Alligator mississippiensis: one gene and its partner. The protein of the gene in region 2 interacts with the protein of the main gene of each other region in a pairwise test. Links are inferred from orthologs where the notes say so. Each region holds a gene or a part of one and is shown on either strand. Other genes may lie near its edges. The genes, in order: C1H2orf50 and glutathione S-transferase A4.

Evidence for each region.
Region 1: the proteins of glutathione S-transferase A4 (region 2) and C1H2orf50 interact in binary tests that used the Homo sapiens proteins (3 or more experiments, as listed by UniProt). The two-hybrid records come from large-scale screens. The link is inferred for Alligator mississippiensis from reciprocal best matches to the Homo sapiens genes GSTA4 and CIMIP5.

What each region holds. Positions count from the first base shown.
Region 1 is NC_081824.1:28,979,970-28,991,489, forward strand, and holds the start of C1H2orf50 (uncharacterized protein C2orf50 homolog), read right to left. Parts: upstream 4,653-11,520; 5' UTR 4,220-4,652; coding exon 3,963-4,219; intron 1,169-3,962; coding exon 1,129-1,168; intron 67-1,128; coding exon 1-66.
Region 2 is NC_081824.1:47,973,501-47,984,634, reverse strand, and holds the start of glutathione S-transferase A4, read left to right. Parts: upstream 1-6,829; 5' UTR 6,830-7,022; coding exon 7,023-7,061; intron 7,062-8,224; coding exon 8,225-8,329; intron 8,330-9,802; coding exon 9,803-9,854; intron 9,855-11,134. Other genes in the region: glutathione S-transferase 3, read left to right, coding at 1,227-1,373. UniProt on the Homo sapiens protein: Conjugation of reduced glutathione to a wide number of exogenous and endogenous hydrophobic electrophiles. This isozyme has a high catalytic efficiency with 4-hydroxyalkenals such as 4-hydroxynonenal (4-HNE).

The DNA of each region.
Region 1 (11,520 bases), about 19 Mb from region 2:
GTTGGGGATTGTTTCGGAAAACACAGAAACAAATTTTGGCAGTGGTTTCTGCTCCTTTTTCTTGCCCTAGGTAACATAAATAAAAAGAGTGTTACAGATTATGTTTTCAAAAACATGTATCTTCCATTTTCAAAAGAGACTTCAGCTTTGCAGTGCCCAAATCACTTTGGAAAAGTTATTAAGAATTTTGGAAATTTTCTCCTATGTCTTATTCACTAAATGTATGTGAACATGCTGTGTAGATGCAGTACAATTAATTATCATTAATTGAAATCAAGGAGAATCCAATCATCTTCTGAGAAGACTGACCCGTATTTACTGTTGAAAGGAATAAAAATCCCAAACAATGATCTCCAACAGAGCAAAGAGAGGACAGTTTTTCTAAATATTAAATTGAGTACCCAGCATTTTATGCACAGCTTTCATCAGAAGGCAGTTTCAAACTGTCTCATTGAATTGTCCACTGGTTAATTGTGTTGTCATTCGTTATTTTAAAGTATAAAGGCGGGTAGTCCTGTGACTTTACGTAGGCAGTTTCCCAATTACTTCAGTAAGGAGGTTTCAATTATTCCAGTGAGGAGTAAGAAGGGCTGAAGGACTGGGACCAAAATAATTGGGATGCACTTTTGTAAAAATACCTCCCCCTTCCCCACCCCACCCCCTTCCCCTTAAAATACACAATTCTGTTTGCAGTCAGGACTTACAGTCCCCATTTGAAATCAGTGTTATTTTTTTACCATTGACTTTCATGGGAGCAAGACTTTCCAGGAAAATTCATTGACTTCAGCATTTCACAGGCTATCAGTCAAAAGAGAATGTGGCCATATTGTGGCAGTGATTTTTTCTCTTTTTTTATATGTTTCAGCTTCCTTTTAAATGCTTACCCACTTATGGGCTTTGTTAATTATTTAAAAGAGAACTAGAACCCACACGTTGCATTTAATCTGTTTAGTACAAATATAGCAGATGACTGGCACTTCACATCTCATATTTACTCCCAGCTCTTAATCTTAAAGCAGTTGACAAATTATATTCGAGGGTGTTTCAATTAAAAAAGCTAGCCTACTTCAAACTGTTACAAACCAAAAGAGAACTTGTGTTACAGTTAGTAGTTTATCTCTAACTTACCAATGGGTCATAGTCCTTCAGGAAACTCCAATTTTGATACCTAGAAATAGAACCCAAGATTTTTACTTTAGTGACATGATCCTATTAGGTACTTTATTTTTTATGTTCTATTTTTGTAAATCAACTGAATGCTGTATCACAGAATCGCTGTTCTTTTTTGGTTGCAGTTTTATTTTAAACAATCCATTACTTTTTGTTTTTTCTTTCTAAAAGAGAATTGAGTAGATGCAGTGTCAGAATTGGCTAGTTTTTTAACTATAAATGCTTGCCATTCCTGTGTGTGTCCTACTGAAAAGAAGGGTGCATTAATGGAAGACCCCAGTCACAGTGTACAAATGCATAGTAAGAGACAGTACGTGTATTGAATAATAAAAAGAAGAGTTTCTACTTGTATGTTATGAGGAAACACTGTTCATTCCACAGAAATAGATAATGATGATAGTGTCTTTGCCTTTAGTATAGATCATATTTTGGAGGCTGTTTCCTCCCCTCTCTCTCTCCCTCTGTCTTCTCTCATAATGCCAGGTTCTTTTACCTAAGCCACAGGACCTGACCATTATAATAAAATCAGACTTCTTTTTTTAGAACCAAACTACAATTTCATCTTAGAATGAATCCGATTTTGAATTTGTATTCAACTTAATTGCAAGCTAATCATTCAAGTTCTTATACCATGCTCATCTGAAGTGAGCAACATTGTGGAAGCAAAATATGGGACACTGTCCTGGATGCTCTACAGACAGGCAATGAAACTAGACTTTGCCACTTCTGGTGCCAGCTAGTGTAGATGCCTTAATACAGCATGGCAGACGAGGGAATTTGGTCTTTTAAGGGACAGTTGCCGCCTGCATCAGAAGCAGTAGAGCTGCATTTGTGTGATGCCAGGCAATGTGCTGATGTGTCCTCTTGATAGACATTACCTGATGCTGAGTCAGGGCCAGGTTTTCAGATTTGTGATAAAAATCCCATTGCAAGAGTTGTTGGAAACACTACAATAAAGCCCTGAAATTTATGACCGTGTTTCCTCTTCTACCTGCCTCTCCCCTGCCCAGCCCCTCCCCCCAAGCATCCTCTCTAAAGTGAAAAAGCCACGCTGGTACAAGTGTAATATTGGTGGTATTACTATGCCTACACAGTAACTAGGGGTTATTGCCAGCACAGCTATCAGGTTTATGTTCTCTTGGAGCATGATTCTGTAGCCAAGTAGCTTGGCCACTCAGCTGAAGTAGCAGAAGGCCGGGAACCTGGTCTCTGCTCCTGTTTCTGTACTTGGGGACTGGTTTCCATGATCCAGGAAGTCTTTCTGGCCTGGGTTCCTTGGTGTGGGCCAACCCAGCTATGTTGGCAGAAGCCCCTAATATAGATCTAGACCAAGCTGTATGAGCAAGTAAGGGCAACTACCTGCAACAATGTTTTATGCAGCCAGCAGTAGAGATACAAGCCTAGTACTGAGAATCAAGAAACGGATTCTGTTCCCTGGCTCCATTACCAACTTGCCATATAACTCTGGGCACATCCCTTTACAGACTGTGTGGAGTTTCTGCATCTTGAAAATGGAGACAGTGAAAGTTTACCTTTCTGTAAGGTGCTACAACAGCTATGGAGGGAAAGTGCTATTATGGCATTGATAAAATAACAATGATAGTTACTATAATAGCAATGATAATGATATGTATTTGCATTCCTGTACTGAGAGAGGCCCCAACTATGGGTCTCCACTGCTCTGGGCATATATACAATATCTGTATCCAGAGGTACTAGCAATAGAGAAAAGCTTGGGCCTCTGCAATTTAACCCATTCACTTGCAGTCTGGTTTTCTTGTCAGGCCACTAGCAGGCAAAGGACTTCTCTTATCCTAAGTGTTCTGTGTGTGTGTGTACATGAGTGCACACATGTATATGTATGTAGAAGGTGGGGGGTGTGGATCTGGAACAGCTGGTGATATTTCTTTCAGCTCTGCCTCTAGGAGAGATAACAAAAAAATTAAAAGTATGTCACTGAAAAAAGAAATACTGACATGGTTTTTACTTACTCCAAGAAGCTGAGGAGTAAGATAAGTTACCAGAAGATGTATTTCCTCATTCCTATTGAATCCATCTGAGCGCCTTCTCCTCTCCTTCCTCCCTGGTAGCTGGGTAAGGCTGGCATACAATTACAACTCAAGCCAATCTTGGTTTCACAACGGACATTCTTGTAACCAGCCTGTTTATGTTGCACATCAGAGATTTGAATTCAGATATTCTGAGAGGCATCTTAATGCTTGGTTCTTTCAACTCAGCAGTGTATACCGCCTGTCAAAGCATAGTTTATGACCTGCATGTGCTGAACACCCTGCTGATGTATTCGTAACAATGGGATTTTCCCTGTGTGTATGTTTGCATGTGGGTTTGTGGCATGCAAGAGATTTACGGATTTGAAATACAGTAATTTTTGGCAGGACAGTCTGTCCAGGCTCCATTTCAGCCATTTCCAAGTAGTAGAGGACATGCAATAATATCACTCTCTGTGATAAATTACAAATGCGTCACGACATATCCTGGCTCTGTGGACCTCCACGTAAAGCTGAGTAGTATCCAGCATGCTGTCCCTTTGCACCTCCATTACAGCTCCAGCCTGACATGCCAGGAGATACTTTACTTGTGTGTTTTTGAAAAATGAAGAAAACAGAGGAGAAATGTGGTCTTAGCAGCAGCTGGATTCACAGCCTCATAAAAGCCTATGTAGTGCAAGTCTTTCCATTGATATATCGAGCTTTGCATTAGGCCCTTGGTCTGTGGGGAGCTGCAGTAGCACTGTTAAGAGGAGAATGTGATGTTGGACTCAAAGTACTTACCAACACTTTCTTCCCCTCCATTCGGCCTCCACAAACTCCCTCCAAATTTTGTCCTGTCGAACCTGGTCCTGCCGCAGGGCTACTTGTTCTTCCTCCCGGGCCCGGGCTGCCTTGGTGGCTGTAACAGCTCTTCCAAGCTGGGTGCTGCTGAAAGCAGGAGATGAGGATGAGGATGAGGCCAGTTCCACCAATGATTTGGTTGCTGATAACTGGTACCCAGCTGAGGTGTTTCTGAATCCAGGTGATCTGCTCCCCATTGTGTGTGTATCTACTCTCACGTAAGATGGTGTCACCACTAGGTAGGTTAAGAGGAGATGCTTGCCAGATTCATCCACCCTGCTGCTTTCTCTCCTCTCACCCTTGGCAAGTAAAAGCACAGCTCCAACTGTGACTGTGTACTATTTTTATTTCCCCTTTGGTTAAGCAGCACTTTCTACTAGTAGCTTCACTATAGCAAGAACTTTGCAAAGAACACTTGTTAGAAGAATAAAAATCCTGGCTGTAAACAGCAAATCCTAATGCTCAGCTTGAGAGACCAGTCAGCGTTGGGTGCAGTTGAGACCACGCTCCATGTTGCTTTCCCAGTCCCCAGGATAGGTGCTGAGCTAGCAGCAAAGTCTGCTGTAGAGAATGATGTTGAGTTTGTCAGGCTTAGGTTTTTGTTCTGTTTGTGCAGCAGAAATAAACCCCCTGATGACTGCTGGTTTCCCCAGTGTGTTTACTGTTGCCATTGGAAACCAGGCTTGCTCATGAATATTCACTGATAAGGGAGTAGAAACTAATGGAAGCAGCTATTGGGATCTTGACTCTGTGCTACTCTTCTTAAGACAGAGTTGCCTTTTCTTTAAAATAAGCAAGGACTTCTTTTCCAGACCTGAGAAAGTTCACTTTGTGTCTAAATGCTTTTCTAATATCTCTCCTAACTAGTCCAATAAAAGATATTACCCAAGAAACCCCTTCTCGAATATTTTCTGGATCATCACAGCTTCAATACTCCTAATCTGCTTTAAGATAAGGTCCTTCTGTGAATCAGCCTTAGTTTTACACTTTTGAAAGCCTCTTAATTTTAGGCTGAAGAAAGAAAACAACTGAGTAGCAGCCCTGGACAATCAATAATCTGTTCTGGAGAACTGATATTACTTTCTTATAGCTTTTTGAGAAAATAGGACAGTGGCTGCTAAAAGTCCCTGGACATGCTGTGGCTAATACACTTAACTGGAAGCTGGAAGCATACAACTGCCTCCTGCCTTATTTGCCTGGTAAAGAATTCGCTGTATATTTCCCCTAGTGAATAGTTTCACTGGATGAAAAATAAGGGGGGGCTCATGGTATACACAAATATTAATTCAGTGAATGGTGTTAAAAAAATGAACAATTTCAGAAAGTCAGATTGTTTCACTTAAAAAAAATGATTTTTTAATTTCTAAATGTTCTTGTTTTGAAACTTGCAAAAAGATTAATTTTTTTAAAAGGTTAAAAAACTGAAAGCAAAACAAAATATTTCATTTCAGGTCAAATTAAGTTTAGGGTTGGTTGGCAACTTTGTCTTTCCTGGGAAAAGCCAAAAAAAGAAGGGTTTGTGGTTGACCCCAAATAAGTTTTTCTTTTTTTTTTGGTTTCACTAGCAGACCACCATTGACTTCCATTTGAAATATTAGAATAGAGTCTCAGACAACTCAGTATAATTTTTGTGCCACTCCTATGTATTCTCCCAGTGCTGGTTTGTCAGCCGCTAGCTGGTCTTCATTCGAGACTTTTTCACCCTCATTTCTTCAGTGAGTTAATAATAAGTAAAAAAAACCCCCAAACCCAAAAAAACCCAACCCTGTATTTTTTTGCATAGCGCACTCCCCCAAATAAGACATGCATCTTGTTTTGATGACAGTAGGATAAAGAAAAAAAAGATTTGTTTTTCAGAGTTATGGCTCCATAGACCAGGGACAGAGTCTAAACTTCAAATCACTGACCCTCCATTTCCTGAATAACCAAAGCTGAAACCCTAGCTACTGCTGAAGACTAGTTCCCATGGGTACATCTGTGATATTGAAAAGAGATCAAAACAGTCTGCAAGGCTGTGAAACAGAAGAAGAGAGACCAGGAGTAGCTAAAAGACAGCAAAATTGCCTGAAGAAAGGTTAGCTTGATTAGGGAAACATGAAGACCATTAAAAAGAAGAGACAATCATTAACGCCTGTAGGATGCAGAGCCAGTTGACTCCCTGAGCTGCCTGAACAGAAATGCCACCGCTGCTGCCAGGTGAAGCAGGAAGCAAATCAGGGTACTTCTGTTCTGAGCAGAAAATCAGCTTTCCCACTTAAGATATGCACCCCATTTTGAGGGGAAATAGTGTGTATAGCATGCAAGTCAATATGGTACTCATAGGGGGAGTTATTGTTAAACTGTAACCCTTGCTAATTCTATATCAGCAGGCAGCCTTTGGCTGTGCTCCGTGGAAGTGCGACTCTAGTCTCAAATCTGGGTAAACTTATGCAAACTTCTGTACCTGTGGAATCCCATTTAAGTGGCATCCTGCACAGATTCACATGCTCAAACTCTGCACCTTGTGGAATCCTGTTACTAAAGAGAAACCGGAAGTCAAAGGAAGGTCTGTAGTATTATGACCCCAGTAACTGAGAAGAGAAGGTAGATCTTAGTAGGCTTAAACAGTAGACTGCAATTTTACTCCAGTGCAGAGCAGGACTATACATGGAAGGGTAGATGTTTTACAGCATTCATGCTGCTTCTCAGGACACAGTGGGCCATGGGAGATCGCTGTGGCCACTTCTGGGAGCAGCTGCAGTGATCAATCAGATCTTGCAGCAAGGCACCGGCGCTCCAGCCTGCCCCCCCCGCCTATTGCCTAAGCAGTGAGCATGGCCAGTCAGGGGGTGCACCGGTGCTCTCAGGGGGTGCACATGCACCCCTGTGCACCCTCTATGCGTCGCCACTGCAGTGGGCATGTCTGCATGAGACACTACTGCACAGTAGTTACCGTGCATTCATTTAGTACTTGTATAAGCAAGTACTAAATGAATGTACAGTACCCGGAGTTACTGCACAAGAGATGCTAATGGGCAGTAGCCTAATACTGCTGCACAGTAGTGTCTCGGCACGGTTTTTGCTACATGATGCTACTGCGCAGTAGTATCAGGCTACTGAGCAGTCAGCTTCTCATGTAGATGTGCCCAGTGTATAGGACTGGGAGAACAGGGCTTGGAAGTCATAAAAGGAAGTAGCTATATACCATTAATATGTAGCAGGGTGAATTTTCAGCATCCTGTTTTGGATATTGTTCTGAAATTTCTTGCTGCATGCCCAAATCATTCAGTAGTGCCATTTAACAAAAATGATGTCTTAAAGGTATACTTGCAAATAGTGCCCTATTTTCTCCCAGTTATTACGTGCCTTTGTAATGTTTATGATTGCTAAGCAGTGGACATTCCTGTAGAAGGAGATGACTGACTGATATAGCATGTGTTTCTTTTTATGGCATTCTTTATAGGGTTATATTGATGTTTGCTGGGGCTTGATGTGCTAGGAATTTTAATGTGACCTGATTTTAATGTGCCTATGTATTTTTGGCTGGGGAAGGGGGGAGATTTTTATAAATGACTCAGGGGTCTGTTGCATGTGGTTCCTTCAGCAGTCCTGTATCTAGATACTGGCAGTATAATTAATTCCTAGGAAGATTTTACATTATGTTCTTTATTAATAGTTATCCAACAAGTGGTGATTTGAACAGTGAAATATTACTGGAAAAATCAAATGTATGTAAACTGCTGTTTCCCTAAAGAAAAAAAAAATTTTTTTCCCTACAGGTAATTTTAACTTGACCACAAGAGGGTATTGTCGTTTAAGTTATGCAGAACTTAAACCGATGAACTGTAACATGCATTGTCTTACTTCTAGTACATAAGTTTCTCCAAAATGATCATTTAAACTACATAGTAGTGAGAAGAAATATATTTTTTAAATCAGCATCTGCTTTATTGATCCAGCAGCAATTTCTGATCTGCATTTCATAGAGATCATTTTGGTTGGTGAATTTGTCACTGGGACCTTCATCCTCTAATGGTGATGGAATGAGAAGAGGGAACCTGCACTGATTTTATAGGAAGAGTAAGAACTTACTAATTAGAAAGCATCATTTTTTAAAATATTTAATGGAAATCACTTGAAAAATACAAAAAATCATTTAATTTTTCTACTCTAGAAGGAAAATAATATCAGTACAGATTTTGGACTATGGGTGTAGGGAAGGAATGAAGATTATTATGAAGTCCACTTTGTGAAAAGTCAGAAGGTACTGGCATATGGAGTTAAAAAAAATTCTTTCCAACCTAAGGTTCTGATCCTGTATACAGAACTGCAGTGCTGGATCCTTGTGTTCAGGCTGAGCTGTGTCAAAGTTGGTGAGACTCTTATTTGACATCCCAAGGCTAAGTACATACATTCAAAAAGCCTGAACCTGAATTGATTCAATCTTTGCAGGTTAGTCTAACCTGGATAGATTGAACTGATTTGCAAGTGGTTAGACATTCACTTTGTATTCAGGAAATGCAGGCACATGCCTGCAGTGGCTCAGGCTAGAAGCTAGGGGGTACTAAAGCAAACCCTCCCTTCCCTTCCCTTTCATAGGACTGACTTCTCATTCAACCTTAGTCATTTGGGCTGAGAAGTCAGAAGTGGCTAGACATGCTAGCCACATGACTTTCTTATGAGCCACTGGGGACAGAAATTTGTCAGCCTTAGTCCTAAGGTCTGCTAGGATCAGGAGTACCTTTGACCTAATAAGAACAGAAATTACAGAGCATGGGTATGAGCTATGACCATCCATGGACAAGGTTTTCTGGGTTGCTGCAGGTGGACAACCCCCCAAACTAACACTATGGAGAGGAATATATCAGAACTGTAAGGACTCACAGATCTCACATAGAAAGTTCCTGTGACCCTCATACCTCTCATCTTCCCAGAGAGTCCGTCTTCCCACCAGGTTATTTGGGCTGGACAGAAAGGTAGAGTTACTTCCATTTTAGGACTGTAGAACTCTAAAGGATTAAAATTTGAGAAATTTTTCTGCTGAAACTAGAACATACATGTGTGTGAAAAACCCTGGTTTCAATTGATAAATGTTTTCCACTGGAAAAAAACAATCATAAAAAACAGGTACATTCTCAATTATCTCTAGGCAGACAAGGTTCTTTGGGTAAATCTGATATCTTTTATTAGACCAACTCAATTATCTCTAGTGTTTTTCTAGATCAGTGATTCCCAATCAGGGTGCTATAGAATAGGAATCTATAGGAATCTAAATAGGAAATCCATTTCAAATAGCACAGTGTTAAAACACTCTGACCAGTTGTGGTCTGAGTTCTTTGCAAAAGAAATATTGCTCAGTTATGTTTCTATAGTCAAAACAAATCAAATCAAAACTATGAGCTGTGTCACCTGTCAGCTCTGTGTTCCTGAGGGAGCCCTGGCACCCAGCTTGCTGGATTTACAATGGACTTTTTCTCCCCCACCATCTAACCAGAACTAAGCAGAAGTAAAGTTTAATAGGCATCTCGGGCCGTACATTCCTCAGTCCCACTATGGGAGGCCTATTTAAACTTGATTGACTAAAACTTGGTTGCCAGGTTAAGGAATGCTGAGGCAGGAGACCAAGTCAGAGAGGGTATGGGCAACATTTGAACAATGGTAAAGGTTTATCACAGTGTCCAGACCATTGGAGTCCTGACCACAAATGCTGTTATATTTTTCCCGGGATGACTGGTGGAAGTCCTCCCCACAAAGTTTATGAACACTCCAATAATCCCCTTAAGTCTGTTAAAAGACTACAGTAAGATCTGGAAAAGTCATGCTAAGCTGAGGCTTATTCACAACAGGTAAAAATACAAAACCCTGACAGCTATCTATTGTTTCTGAAGAAACAAGGAGGTATCCCATCCAGTATATCTGCTATCCATAAGAATTTCAAGCTGGCTCCTAAGTGTCTGGTTACTTCTTAAAAACTTATGTTTTTCCTGCTTATTGATCAGTTTCTTGAGATGTTCCAAACCAGATAATCCCTTGTCAATAGAAAAGACAATTATTTACACAATTAAAAGAATACTTTGAAGCAGCTGAACTGAGGGTATAAAAATCTGTAAAAACAGCAACCTGTGAGCTTCAAGAGAAGAAATCTCTCTGACACCGTTCACTGTTGTTCTTGAGAAGCTGGAAGAAACGGATTGTTTCCCTTCAAGGATTGTGCTAAGAACTTTACCTGTCAGCATTGGAACCAGAGTGCCTTGGACTGGTGAGACCCTAGTTCTCGCTCTCTCTCTGTTTTCTCTTCTTCTCTCTAGGCATAGATTTCTGAACCTGAATTGTATTAGTTAAGCTTGAGCTAAGTTTCCCCAAATACTTAGTGAAACCAGGGTAGTATTATAATTGTTTTGATAGTTTTCCTTTGCATGTCTATTATTACTAGTACCATTATACATTTCATATAGGCAGCAATAAATAACTGTTTATAGTCAAACTGGCTGTAACTGGGTATATTTTTCCTTCTACTTTCCTTCCCCACTTGCTCTGCAGCAACACTTCTTTTACCTAAGCTAAAGATCCCTGTGATGCCCAGAAATACTGTGGGGTCTGCTCAAGAGGCTACCACTACTAGGACAGCTAGGGCAAAAGATTGGGATGTGCTGAGTTTGAAACACATAAGGGTTCAGCTTGAACAGGCTGATTGACCCAGTTTGGCTCAGACGTGCCCTTATGAATTGAATGCTGGCCCATGAGGGTGTCAGATAGACACCCAGCTGGATTCAGAGGTATTCTGTTTACCTGGGTGCTTGTGTCTGACTGCATTTTATTGTTACCTTAATGAACTGATTCCTGGCATATGAGGGTGTCAGCCTGTCCATGTTGATCAACCCAGCCGGGTCAGGCATGTCACATTAATCTGTGTGTTTGTGTCTATGACTGATTTGGTGACTGGAGGAACCCAGCCCCATTGAAACTGAGTCCTGCAAGATAGCTCCATTGGGGGTGAGGACTTGCAGAAGGGAGAGATACAGCTCCATACAGAAACACAAGTAACACAAGCAGCATGTTGTAGAATTACAAAGACCCTAGAAATGTATCCCTAATAAATGAGCGCAGCCGGAAGTGACAGGCAAATCTGGTGACAGCTATCATTTTCCAACGAGTGCCTTGAGTCTAAATATGTTGAGAGCCACAGCCCTAGATGGTTTGCAGAAAAAAATTTGCTATGTCAGTAATTGAAGCAGAAAGCAGTGTGTGCACAGCCTGCTGCAGATCCTTGTCCCAAGAGTACAAACACACTCATTGAGCTTGCAAGTTCTGAGGAAACCCTTCATCGCCTTTACACTTAGATTATGGTTTATGGGCAGTTAACTGCCAAGCTTAAATGAGAAACATGGATGGATGACAGGCAAAACTTAAAAGCCCAAAGGCAAGAGAAGCCCAGTGACCAAAACTGAGAAATGCAAGTTTGTGTGGGAGTAGCTAGGGAAGTTTAGACAGGGGTGTCCCTTTTTTCTGTAAGGGTAGG
Region 2 (11,134 bases):
GCCATATCCCAGAGCACACATTAAAAATGCCTATATAGCTAGCTCCAGCCTGGCCCTCTGCTGCTCAGTTGACTTGCCACTCAGCCCCCTCTCACCACCAGCAAACCCTGCTACAGGGGGATTCTTACCTTTCAGTCCTCCAGGCTCCTGCTGGCCTGAACCAAACTTGAGCTAGCACTAACACCCATCAACGTTTGTGTGGCTCACACTGTAATGTGTAACAAGGCCCTTAGCTTAATCTTTAATAGTTGGGTAAAATAAGACATTAGGGCACAAATGTCATCTCAGTCCTTTGAACTGCTTAGGGGGCATCATCTACAGAAAAAATTAGATCAGCAAGCTCACAGTGTTATGGTCAAGGATCTTGTGTTTTTTTCTGATTTAAAAAAATCCCCTATTTTTAGTTTTAAAAAAGTAACCTAAAATCCACATTTTTCCATGATTAAAATGAAAGACCTCCATATATAATATTTTAGATCACTCTCTCTCTCTCTAATATTATGGAACTTGAGAGCTCTGTATTTTAAAACTTCAATTTCCATGCACCTTTTCAATTATTTTTATCTTTAAAATGCAACCAGCTTGGGCAGTATTTTGGAATGAATAATGATTATGCCTCATGAATAATGATTATGCCTCAGGAGCTTTCTCATTTCCATGTTTATCATTTATATGCTTCTATCTCATGTTTAAATCTTATTTACACTCCCAGAATGGGAACAAAGATAGGGCATTTAGTATCATTTTGTTCCAGTGAAATTAATAGCAATAATAAGTCCATGAAGAGTGGTGGTTCACAGCTAGGCTCTTAAAGTCCCATTGTATCTTATTAAATTTGTACCTCATTTCTTGTATCTGCTTAACAGATACAAAGATTGCAGGTGGTGACTTGTCTTTCAGTGTAATGCAACAGCATTTTTTCATGCAATTCAAGGGTAAAAACATCCTTTGCCTGAAATGGTTATACAGAAATGCCATTCTTGCAGGGATTTTCTCATTTGGCTAAACTCCGGGCCTTGTAAATTAAAAAGGATAAGAACCACCTCAGTACATTGGGAGCAGCCGTTTGGAAAACTTAAACAGTCCCTACTAAGGTTAAATTAAAAGCTGGTCATTCAGGTGTTGGTCAAATCAATTGATTTTTACTCACTCATGTAACTTCCCCCTCCCACCCCATCCTCACTTTAGTCCTTTAAATGGCTTTGTGCTGTGTTCTGTCTCTTTAGATGTTTAAAGCAAGAATAAGCAACATGCCCAGAATAAAGAAATTTCTGGAACCTGGAAGCCAAAGGAAACCTATCCCAGATGATAAATATGTGGAGACTGTGAGAAGAGTTCTCCAAATGTATTATAATGTAAAAGCGAGTGTGTAGCTGGTTCAAAAAGCAATGAGAAGCTCAATGCTAGCAAATACTTTCTCTCAAACTCTGTAAGAGAGAAATCTATTAAACTACAGAGATAGTTGCACTGTCCTTGACTGACTAGCTAGTTGAACTGTATCTGACAGCATTGTATGTAACATGCGAGAATTAGTCAAAACTCTCAATTACTAACAGTTTACTGAATATAACCTTTGTTAAATTTCTCTTCCTGTTCTGGGTGCAATGAGCACATGCATGCAGAGTCCATCATCCCCCTCCTTCATCCCAAGGAAACTTAGAAGTTTTTTACCAGCCCAAAGATGTTCTATCAACAAACACCCAGGGTTTGCAATGAAATACAGATAGAGGTCTCAATTGTAAGCTTAAACTTAATATTTTAAGGGTGAATTTAATCATGGGGAAAAATGAGAATAGTTCTAAGAGCCAGAAAGGCAATCCTAGACCTTCCAACCTTTGTGGGACACCAGCATATCAGCTGAAATGATATCAAGTCACGATATTAGCAACACATTTTCTTCCTCTTAATAAACCTTAGTTTAAGATGTGTGAGCTAACATTGCATGAGTGTATCTGTTAATTTTTTTTTTTCTGTGTAATCATTCAATAATTGGAAAGACATTTTTCTAACCAAAAAAAATTCTTTGATTCTTATGTGGTGGTAATGTCTTGAATTTGTTGATCAAAGCTGTCTTGCAGCCTACACATGGAGGCTGCCTTTCTCTTCAGACTGAAAACAGTTTTTGAATTAAGTGAATTTAAGAGCTTAGATAATAAACTGTCCCTACCAGCTCTGGCAAAACAAATTACACGTGTTTCCTAAAGCGAGCCTACTAAGTCTAGGTTGAAACCAAATCTAATTCTGCTGCTACTCTCCCAAAAACAAGGCTTTAGAATAGGAACAGAAGCTAACGTGCATGTCTTGCTCCAAAACGCGTGGTGTTTTCACTCTGGTTTTGCCAAAAAAAAAAAAAGAAGCCAGAGAACAACTTCAAGTATTGCTATAAACTCTCAAGCCAGGTAAAATATACTTATGCTTTGAAAGACTGCTTTTTATGTTGGTATCATGGGGTTCTATATTTGTAACTGTGTCTAAGTATCCTCAGTTCACAAATAAGCCTCCTTTCCACCCGCCTCTCCACCCCACATTGTTCATCTTGTCTAACAGCTGTGGATTAGGAAAAGATGTGCTGCTGTGAAGAAGAGGTGTTTTTCCCTGGCAGTGATACTGGGAGCAAGTACCCTTCCTGTACAGTGCTGGTCAGCATTTAAATAACCTGTTCTCACTAACATGATGGAAGTGTTTTGACTTCATCTTCAAGAGGAGGTGGTTTGGACTCCTCTACCTTGGCTCACTGCTGCCATCTATCTAATACTGGTTGTAACTTCAATTTGGGAAGGGTCTCTTTCTTTTTTTCACTTCTCTTAATAAAAATTTGAACAGCCTGGTATGTCATTTTTTCTCAATTTCTCTGTAGGCTGAACTTTCTCTCTTGTGTATGCAGTTCCTCAGACAGGTGGTTTTGCAGTTTGATGCTGATCTAACCTATCTTCCCAAGACTGGAGTTCCAGGAAATCTAGGAAGATTGACTTGTGTCCTTAGAACTGGAATATTCTGGGATACTTCACCAAATGCCCAAGGTCTGCTGCTGCCTCAGTGGCTCACAGGTTGTCTTTTAGCAATATTTATGAAAAATATTCATGGGAGAATGCAGATTATCATCTGAAAGAAATAAATGTGTTCTGCTGAGAGAAGGGGAGTTGTATACGTGAGGTGTACAGTTTCCTGTCCCCGGCCTTAATCCCCTCCCATGGATGTTTTTCAGGCCTTGAACACATGATCACTTGTAGTGCTACAAAAAGAGTGCTATTTTGTGGTGGATCTGCCTTCTATGTAGTGCTGCAGACAGTGTGAATGTATGCACACTAGCTTTCTGTAGTGCTGTAAGATCATGTATAGTGCTATAAATGTAATATGTGCCCAAGGCTTCAGGACTGAATACGCAGCATCTATTTTGTGTTGCTGTGTTGCCTGTCACAGATGGAGAGGAACAGGAGCTTTTGGAATAATTCTGGGGGATGCAGGAGGAAATGTTGTTGAACTACCATCCCTGAGACCACAGACCATCTGTGCCAACTTCACAGGTGCAGAAAGAAGCTGATGTGTAGGATCATTTGTCGGCTTGGGAATAATGATGAGACAGCAGTACTGTTTCTTTGAGCCACAAGGCTTTTCTGAATACTGCTGTACTTCAGTTTCGTTTTATTCTCCTTTGCAGTCCTAACTGAGCTCACCTGTCCTAAGTATCATTCCAAGGAAAGTTTGCAGGGTCACTCTCCACAAGTTTCAGCCTCCTTGGCTAGGGAATCTTCAGAGTGTAGTGGAAGAGGAGGTGGGGGCAGAGGGGCAAGATGGGAACTGCAGAGCTAGCATTCCCCACTGCAGTGCTGTTCCCACGCAGGCCTGCCAGCTTCTAGTCCCCTCCATTTGGAAGGACCAGTTGATAAAACCCACAATATTTAAATCTAACCTTTTACATAGCCAAGGAGGAGAGCAAGTCCGAAGGTCACTGCTGTTTACAAGTTCTCTAATACCTAATAACTGACCAAAAGCTGACATATGAATCATACTCTAGTGCAGCTCTTTTGTGGTAATTATTAATGGACTTTAGGTAGCCTTGATGATTTTATGACTGTAAAATGAATATATTGCAGTCCTTAGTTTCTGCAACTTTCTAAAGCAAAAGGAAACTTGGCTGGGAGGATGGTCAGTGAAGTACATAGGAGAAAACTGCAAACACATTCAAGTACCTCCAGCTTTCCCTTCAGCAGACTGCAGTGTCTCTCAACACGTTGTCCAATGAGCTACTTTCAGTAAAGTCCTTCTGGTGACAGAAATCTTAGCTTCACTTCTTGTCTCCAGAAGTCCAGAAGTACTCAAATGTTATATGTACTGCTGTGATGCCCCTTGCCAGAAGAAATAGGAGATTGCTGAAATTTTTAGCCGTACTGACTAATCATTTATGTAGCTTGACTCAGGTTCATCAGAACCAATTTAAGAGTAAGTACTAATAAGCATGAGTAATGAGTGTGGATTTGAATACTAAGTAACACGTCTGGGTGCAAACATGATTCTGCTAAGAGCATGCAGTTTGCTTTTTGTTCTTAAGACCACAATCATTCAAATTATTAAGAACTTCCACATGCTAATAGTACTGGCTCATTATAGGCACAAAAGGGACATCTTGCTTCTGCTAACCATAGGGACGCTGTAATAAAAATGCATAACGTCTCATAGGTTGGTAGGCCTCAGGCCCAAGGGACTTTAGTCAAGAGTGTGCCAAAACGTAGTGAAAAATAAGCTTGTCAAAGTAGAGTTTTTGTTGAGGGGGAATAGCCCAAGAGCGGCATGATCCTGTGCAAAAATGACTACATCGGGTTATTTGGAAACAGTGGTGCTTGCAGTGCTTGTGGACAGTCCATTCCTGCTAGTGAGCTGGTCATGAGGGCACAAGCCAACATCTATCATCTGAAGTGTTTTACGTGCTCTACCTGCCGGAATGGCCTGGTCCTAGGAGACCGGTATCACTATATCAATGGCGGTTTATTTTGTGAACATGATAAACCTACAGCTCTTATCAATGGCCATTTGAATTCACTTCAGAGCAATCCACTACTGCCAGACCAGAAGGTCTGCTAAAAGGTCATAGTAATGCAGCATGCGTTCCTTCATCTCAAATTTTGTTCATCACAGATGGATCCCATGTCTCCAGTAGATAAGTCACCTTTGTAGCTAGCATCAATGCCAGCTCCATGCCATTGTACCTTCCTACTATGAAATGTCAGGTCTGGTATTTATGGGCGTGGTATTCTTCCACACCAAACACCATTACCTGAAGCGGGTCATTGATTTGCTGGTATCTAATGGCCAAACCTCCCCCCCACAACAAAAATCCAGATAGCAGGTAAGCTGGTGTTAGGGTTATGGCGGCATTCCCTACTACTAGTTTATCTTGCATAGTTTCTATTATTCATAATTTACAGAGCCCTTTCATAAGAAGCACCTACTACAGTTTGTGAACAATAGATATTACAAGAAGCTTTGCCTTGTGCAAATGCGCGCACACACCCACACACACACACAACTCCCCTAATCTACCCTTTAGCCTCCATGGCCGCATCCACACGAGCAAGCATGTATCTGTTTCAGCATCTCAAACAAATTTTCAATGACACAGGAGGCATGCCACAAACGAAAAAATGTTCCCCATACTGCAACTATGCAGCATAGACTCTGATACCAGTATCAAAAGAAAACACACCAGAAAAAAAGCGGTGCAGGGAGCACTCCTACAGCATGCCTCGAAGCAACTGGAGGTTAGGTCCACCAAAGAGGCATTCTAGCACCTGTAGAGAGCATCTCTATGCCTGCTGCATGCCCCTGCTGCTCCAGCACTGGAGGAAATGGAAGCAGGGCATGGTTGGCAGCAGTGGCTCAGAGCTGGCTGAGATCCACGCTCTGTCCCCAGTAATCAAGGACATGGGGGAACTGTGTGTGGATATAGGGGGACTGTAAAGGTAAGGGGGACTGTGTGGGAGGGGTCCCCCACCTACCCCCCCCCCATGGCACACAGCCTCTACCAGCAGCAGCAGCCAACAGCAGGCCCTTGGGGTCCTCATGGTGTGCTGCCTGCAAAGCCCCCCAGTGACATGCAGCACCACCTGAGACCTGGGGGCTACACATGGAGCTGATCTGACACACACCTTCAAACAACATCTGGTCGGCTCCTGCTGCCAACCAGGGACACCATCAGGAGGCTCTGCCTGCAGCAGGCTATAAGCACCCCGAAAGCCCACTATTGCTGCTGCTGCTGGCAACAGGGGTTGTATGCCATGGGGAGGGGGGTTTACAGATGTGTGGCAGACGCTCTCCACAAACCCTACACTCACCCCCCCCCCCACAATACAACCACAAACCCCCCACCTACAAACCAACCCCCTAACCCCCTTCGGAAGGTAATTTGGCATCAATGCCATAGAACAAGATAACATAGCTCCCTTGAACCAGAGAATTGGTAATACACAACCAAAGAATTAACACCTGCTTCAATGTTGTGCTCAGAAGAGAGGAACTAAAAACTCAAAGGTAAGAAATCTCATATTTTTCATAAGTATCCCTTGTGAAAACAGCTGTCACATCCAGAATATCATTTTACATGGTAACACAGAGACAAGGAAATATCCTTGCAGTCAAACAGAAGCCAAAGCACTGAATTAATTCTTGAATAAAAATGGAAACCCCTCTTCTGTATATGGTATGACTGGAGACTCCTCCCACGGAGAGCAGGTTCCAAAGTCTCATTATTTGAGACAGGTTTCCTTGTTTAAAAAAAGTAAGATCTGGTGCACAGCAAGGACTTGCAGGTTAGTCTTGCAACCCAAAGAAAGCAGATTTCTTTTAATCCCCAGCTGTTTGAAGTTTCTTTTTAGGGAGATTAATAAGAGCATAGTTACTAGAGCTAACATAACTTCTTCCCAGTTTGATAGGTGTTGGGAAACAGTCCGCAGGGAACACAAGTCTGCTGGTAGGGAGCAAAAGGACAGTGGAAGGAGTGAGTGGGTAAAAGTGGGTTGAAACGACAGATGGAATTGACTGAGCTCGAGAGTTCACTGAGAGAACAGGTAGGTGTAGTGGCCAGATCAAAATATGTTGGACCCTTTCCCCGAGGTTAGTACAAGGATAAAGTTTGTATTGGTCCCCCAAAAAAATGTTTCTCATCATTCTGATGACCAGTTTGATGTTTAAAAGTTCATTTTACTAAGGCTTATAAAAAAGTGACTGCACATCCTGGGACTGCAATCTGAGTGCTTATGCATGGTACAGCGTGTTAGCAGGGGTTGCTGAAAAACAAACAGGTAGAGGTGGGTCCAGGTCAGACCTCAGGTACAGTCACCCCTCAAAATTATTTTGGTGGTGGAGGTGAACCTCTCTAGATATGGCAGCATAAGCTGATTCTTTACGCTGGTTCCTGGCAACAGTAAAAATCTTTCAGTGGAAAATCCCACAATAATTTGGTTTTCAGAACAGAATATGTAGAATCTGTGCTTTGCTGTGGTCAAACTGAATAGTGTATGGCAAGTCTTTGTTCTATTTAGAGTTATTTCCAAGAAATGTTTTGGCTCTTTTTATTTATTTCTGTGGACAGTTCTTAGGTTTTAAGTTCTTTTGGGCAAGTACCTTCTCATGTTTTTAAAGCACTTCAGCCTGCCATTGCTACAGTAAAAGAATATATTTTAATAATAGTAGTTGCAACTTGACATAGATATAAACGCAGTGGCCAGTTAATAATAAAAATATAAATAATGTCATTGGAGATCCCTGTTCGTGAAGACAAATTCTCAAAGTTCAATGACTTCATAGCACACGTAGGATCCATCTCTAAAATAATACTCTCAACTTGTAAGTGTGACTAGCACAATATTGTTTTGTTCCCTGTTTGCTTATAATAGTATAAAAGAGGCACTTCCCCCCCTTTTTTTAATATAAGGGTAACTAGAGTTGCAGAGTCTGATCATCCTGAAAGCAGGAGCTGAGAAGAAAAACAAAAGAAGTCATTAAAGTGTTAGGGTGGGGAATTATACAACTTCTGCCTTCTGGTCATTTCTTTAGCTCCCATAATACACACACAGGGCAGAATCCAGTTCAGTGAATTTGAACAATACCCTATCAATTGCAGATCAGCTGACTACCTATTGTAGCCTGTAGTAAAAATGTTACTTTAAATGTGGATTTCCCTGCCTTCACCACTCCCTCAAGCTTTTTCTCCTTTTGTTTTTTTCCCCAGGCAATCAGAACCTCACTCATGGCTGGGAAACCAAAGCTTTATTATTTCAATGGAAGGGGACGAATGGAATCAGTCCGATGGCTGCTGGCAGCTGCTGGGATTGAGGTTGGGTCTTCAGTCCTAAAGAAAACAAATGGCTTCAGACAGAATGTCTGGCTGAATTTATTCCAGAATTTTATTTATTTATTACAGAAAAAGAGCTCTGAGTCTTATGACTATAGAAGACAGGGTAGAAGACACTTCAATTTCTGCTTTGAACACAAGCAGGACTTTTTTTAATGGTCAAATTTAAGTAAATACAGTTACAAAAGTTTAAAACTATAAGCTGAACTGTGTTGTGCCTTTGCATGTCACCTATAGAATTAATGGCAGTTCACACACAAATATAGGAAAGATAGTTGTTGCGGAGTTTAAATTGAGAAAAAGTCATTTTAAAATTGGGTAAAATTTTACCCAAATCTACATTTCTAAAAATGTAGAAATAGATTTTATTTGTTGTTATTAAATATACTGCTTACTGACAGTATATTTAATACTGGATTCCTTCTGTAATTTGGAGTTGGATACTTCAGCAAAACATTTCATATAGCTGCTGTGGTTTGCTCAGAGACTCCCTCTGACACCAGAGAGCAAAAGCTCTTTTTTAGTGCAATTTTATTAGGAAGAATTGAAGGTTTTATAGAGCAGGTGAGAGGTGAACGCTATATTTCTAGAGCTTAAGTTTGGAAACAGAGGCACAAAGAACTCAATAGTTTTGACTAAGAAAAATCTGAAATGGTTTATCATCCCCAGTTGTTTTAAAAATATGCAGCTTCCGCTATCGTAATAGAGCTGAAGGTCTTATCAATGTGTTTATGATTCATGTAGTACCAGCCAGGCATAAGAACTGAGTGTAAGGCTTTTTAAATTTTCTTTCCCTAATCAGAAAGTCATTATCTTGACTTTTGTGTATTTAGCTCATAGCTTAGAAACAGAGGACTGGAACAGAATTGAGCCACTGAGTCCAGTCTTTTGCTGACATAGGCTACCATATTATATAATTCCATTCCAGGGATGGCAAGCTGGTCAATTAACCAGTCAAATATTGTCAGTTGACTGGTCAATCAAGTGCATTTTTGACCAGTCAAAGATTACAGCAATTTTACAAATAAACTACATTTTTTGTAGTTTTCTTGACAGAAATGTGATATTTTATTGTTTTTGACACATTTCTTAATCGAAAATTTGTGCTTTTCCCGTGTATTACTTGGATCTATTGGCAATTTTTTTACAATTTTTGACTGATATTTGACTAGTCACCATTTACTATTACTGCAATGTTTTGTGAGGCTCTACTTAGAATAAAAAATTATAAGGGAAGTTTGACCTGATGAAGATTTGTCAGATATTCTAAACAATACTCCTTTTCACTGTGTACTTCTTCTTGGTGGTCCAGGCCACAAAGCTAGGGAGAGTCAGGGTGACTTCCTTACTTGTCTCATTTGTGAACTGGTGACATGAGGTTTTCTATTTTAACCCTGACCCATAATTCCCAACACATTGTATGTAACCTACCTTTCTATGTTCTTCCATTCCCAGTTTGTAGAAGAGTTTCTGGAAACAAGAGAACAGTATGAAAAGCTACTGCAGGGTAAGGCTACAGTGACTTGGCCAGTTTTCTTTATTTTAGGATTGCTGTAAGTGTATTATATTAGCAAGGTATGTCTAATATTGGTGGACCTAGGATAGCCTATGTCTTGTTCCCAGCTCCTGTAGAGGATAGAAGGGAGGGAGGGATGCAGAGATCAGCAGTTGGAAAGGGAGCATTTGCATTCTGGATACTTCTGGATGTATCATTCTCCTGGGACTAAGTCAACAAGCAGGGTAAGAGCACCCTCATTTAGAACAATCAAGACTTCTTGTAGAAACTAGGTGTGTCTACACGAGATGCTAAACACACAGTAGCGTGCTGGGCAAAAACCCATGCTGATACACTACTACGCAGTAGTATTAGGCTTCTGCACAGTAAGCATCACTAAAAACCTGTGTGCCAGCACTACTGCACAGTAGTGCAAATTATTGTGCATTGATTTAGTACTTGCTTAACCAAGTACTAAACTTAATGCACTGTGTGGCAGTGCACTGGGGGTGCCTGCCACTTGCAACCAGTGGGTTGCGTACGGGGGGTATAGACCCCGGCCCCAGGAAGGGGGCGGTGATAGGTGCAACCAGAGGGTTGCGTGTGGGGTGCATAGACCCCGAGCCCCATTAAGCGGGGAGGTGTGTGGCACTGCACTGTGTGTGCCTGCCACTTGCAACCAGTGGGTTGCGTAGCCCCGGTGTGAGGGGGCGGTAGTGTGAGAGGCCCCAGTGTGAAGGGGGCCAGCGACGAGGAGCCCGAGAGGGGCCGTATATCGAGCCCGGTAGAAGGCCAGCACAACGATAGGCCTCGAGAGGGCAGGGTCCTGCGGTGGTCAGCCCGAAGGGGAGAGTACCCTCAACTGGCCCATGCTGGGGCCAGGACCAGAGAGGGTCAAAAGGGCCAGGGGCCCACCGCAAGGGACGCCCAAGAGCCGGAGGGCTGGGGTCCCGACTGGCCTTGAGGTGGGCCAGGGCAAGAGGCCAAAGGTTCCGGGGGAACCGCACCCGAGAGGGGAACATGGCTTCGGGAGGGCGAGGTAGCCCGGATGACGGCGGAGAGGCCACCTGATAGGAAGGATCAGAGAGGGGTCCTTTTAGGACGACTCTGGGGCCCAGTATGGAGCCGGTGATAGTGTTAACACTGAGATGCCTTCTGCGAGGCTTGGGCTGCGGTATTAGGGGAGGTCGGAGCCGCAGAGCGCCCCTGGCATCGGGGCATTACAATGGGCAGCCTCCCGCTTAATTGACATCGATATACGAATCAATTATCATCAAAGGCGTGGCGGGCGA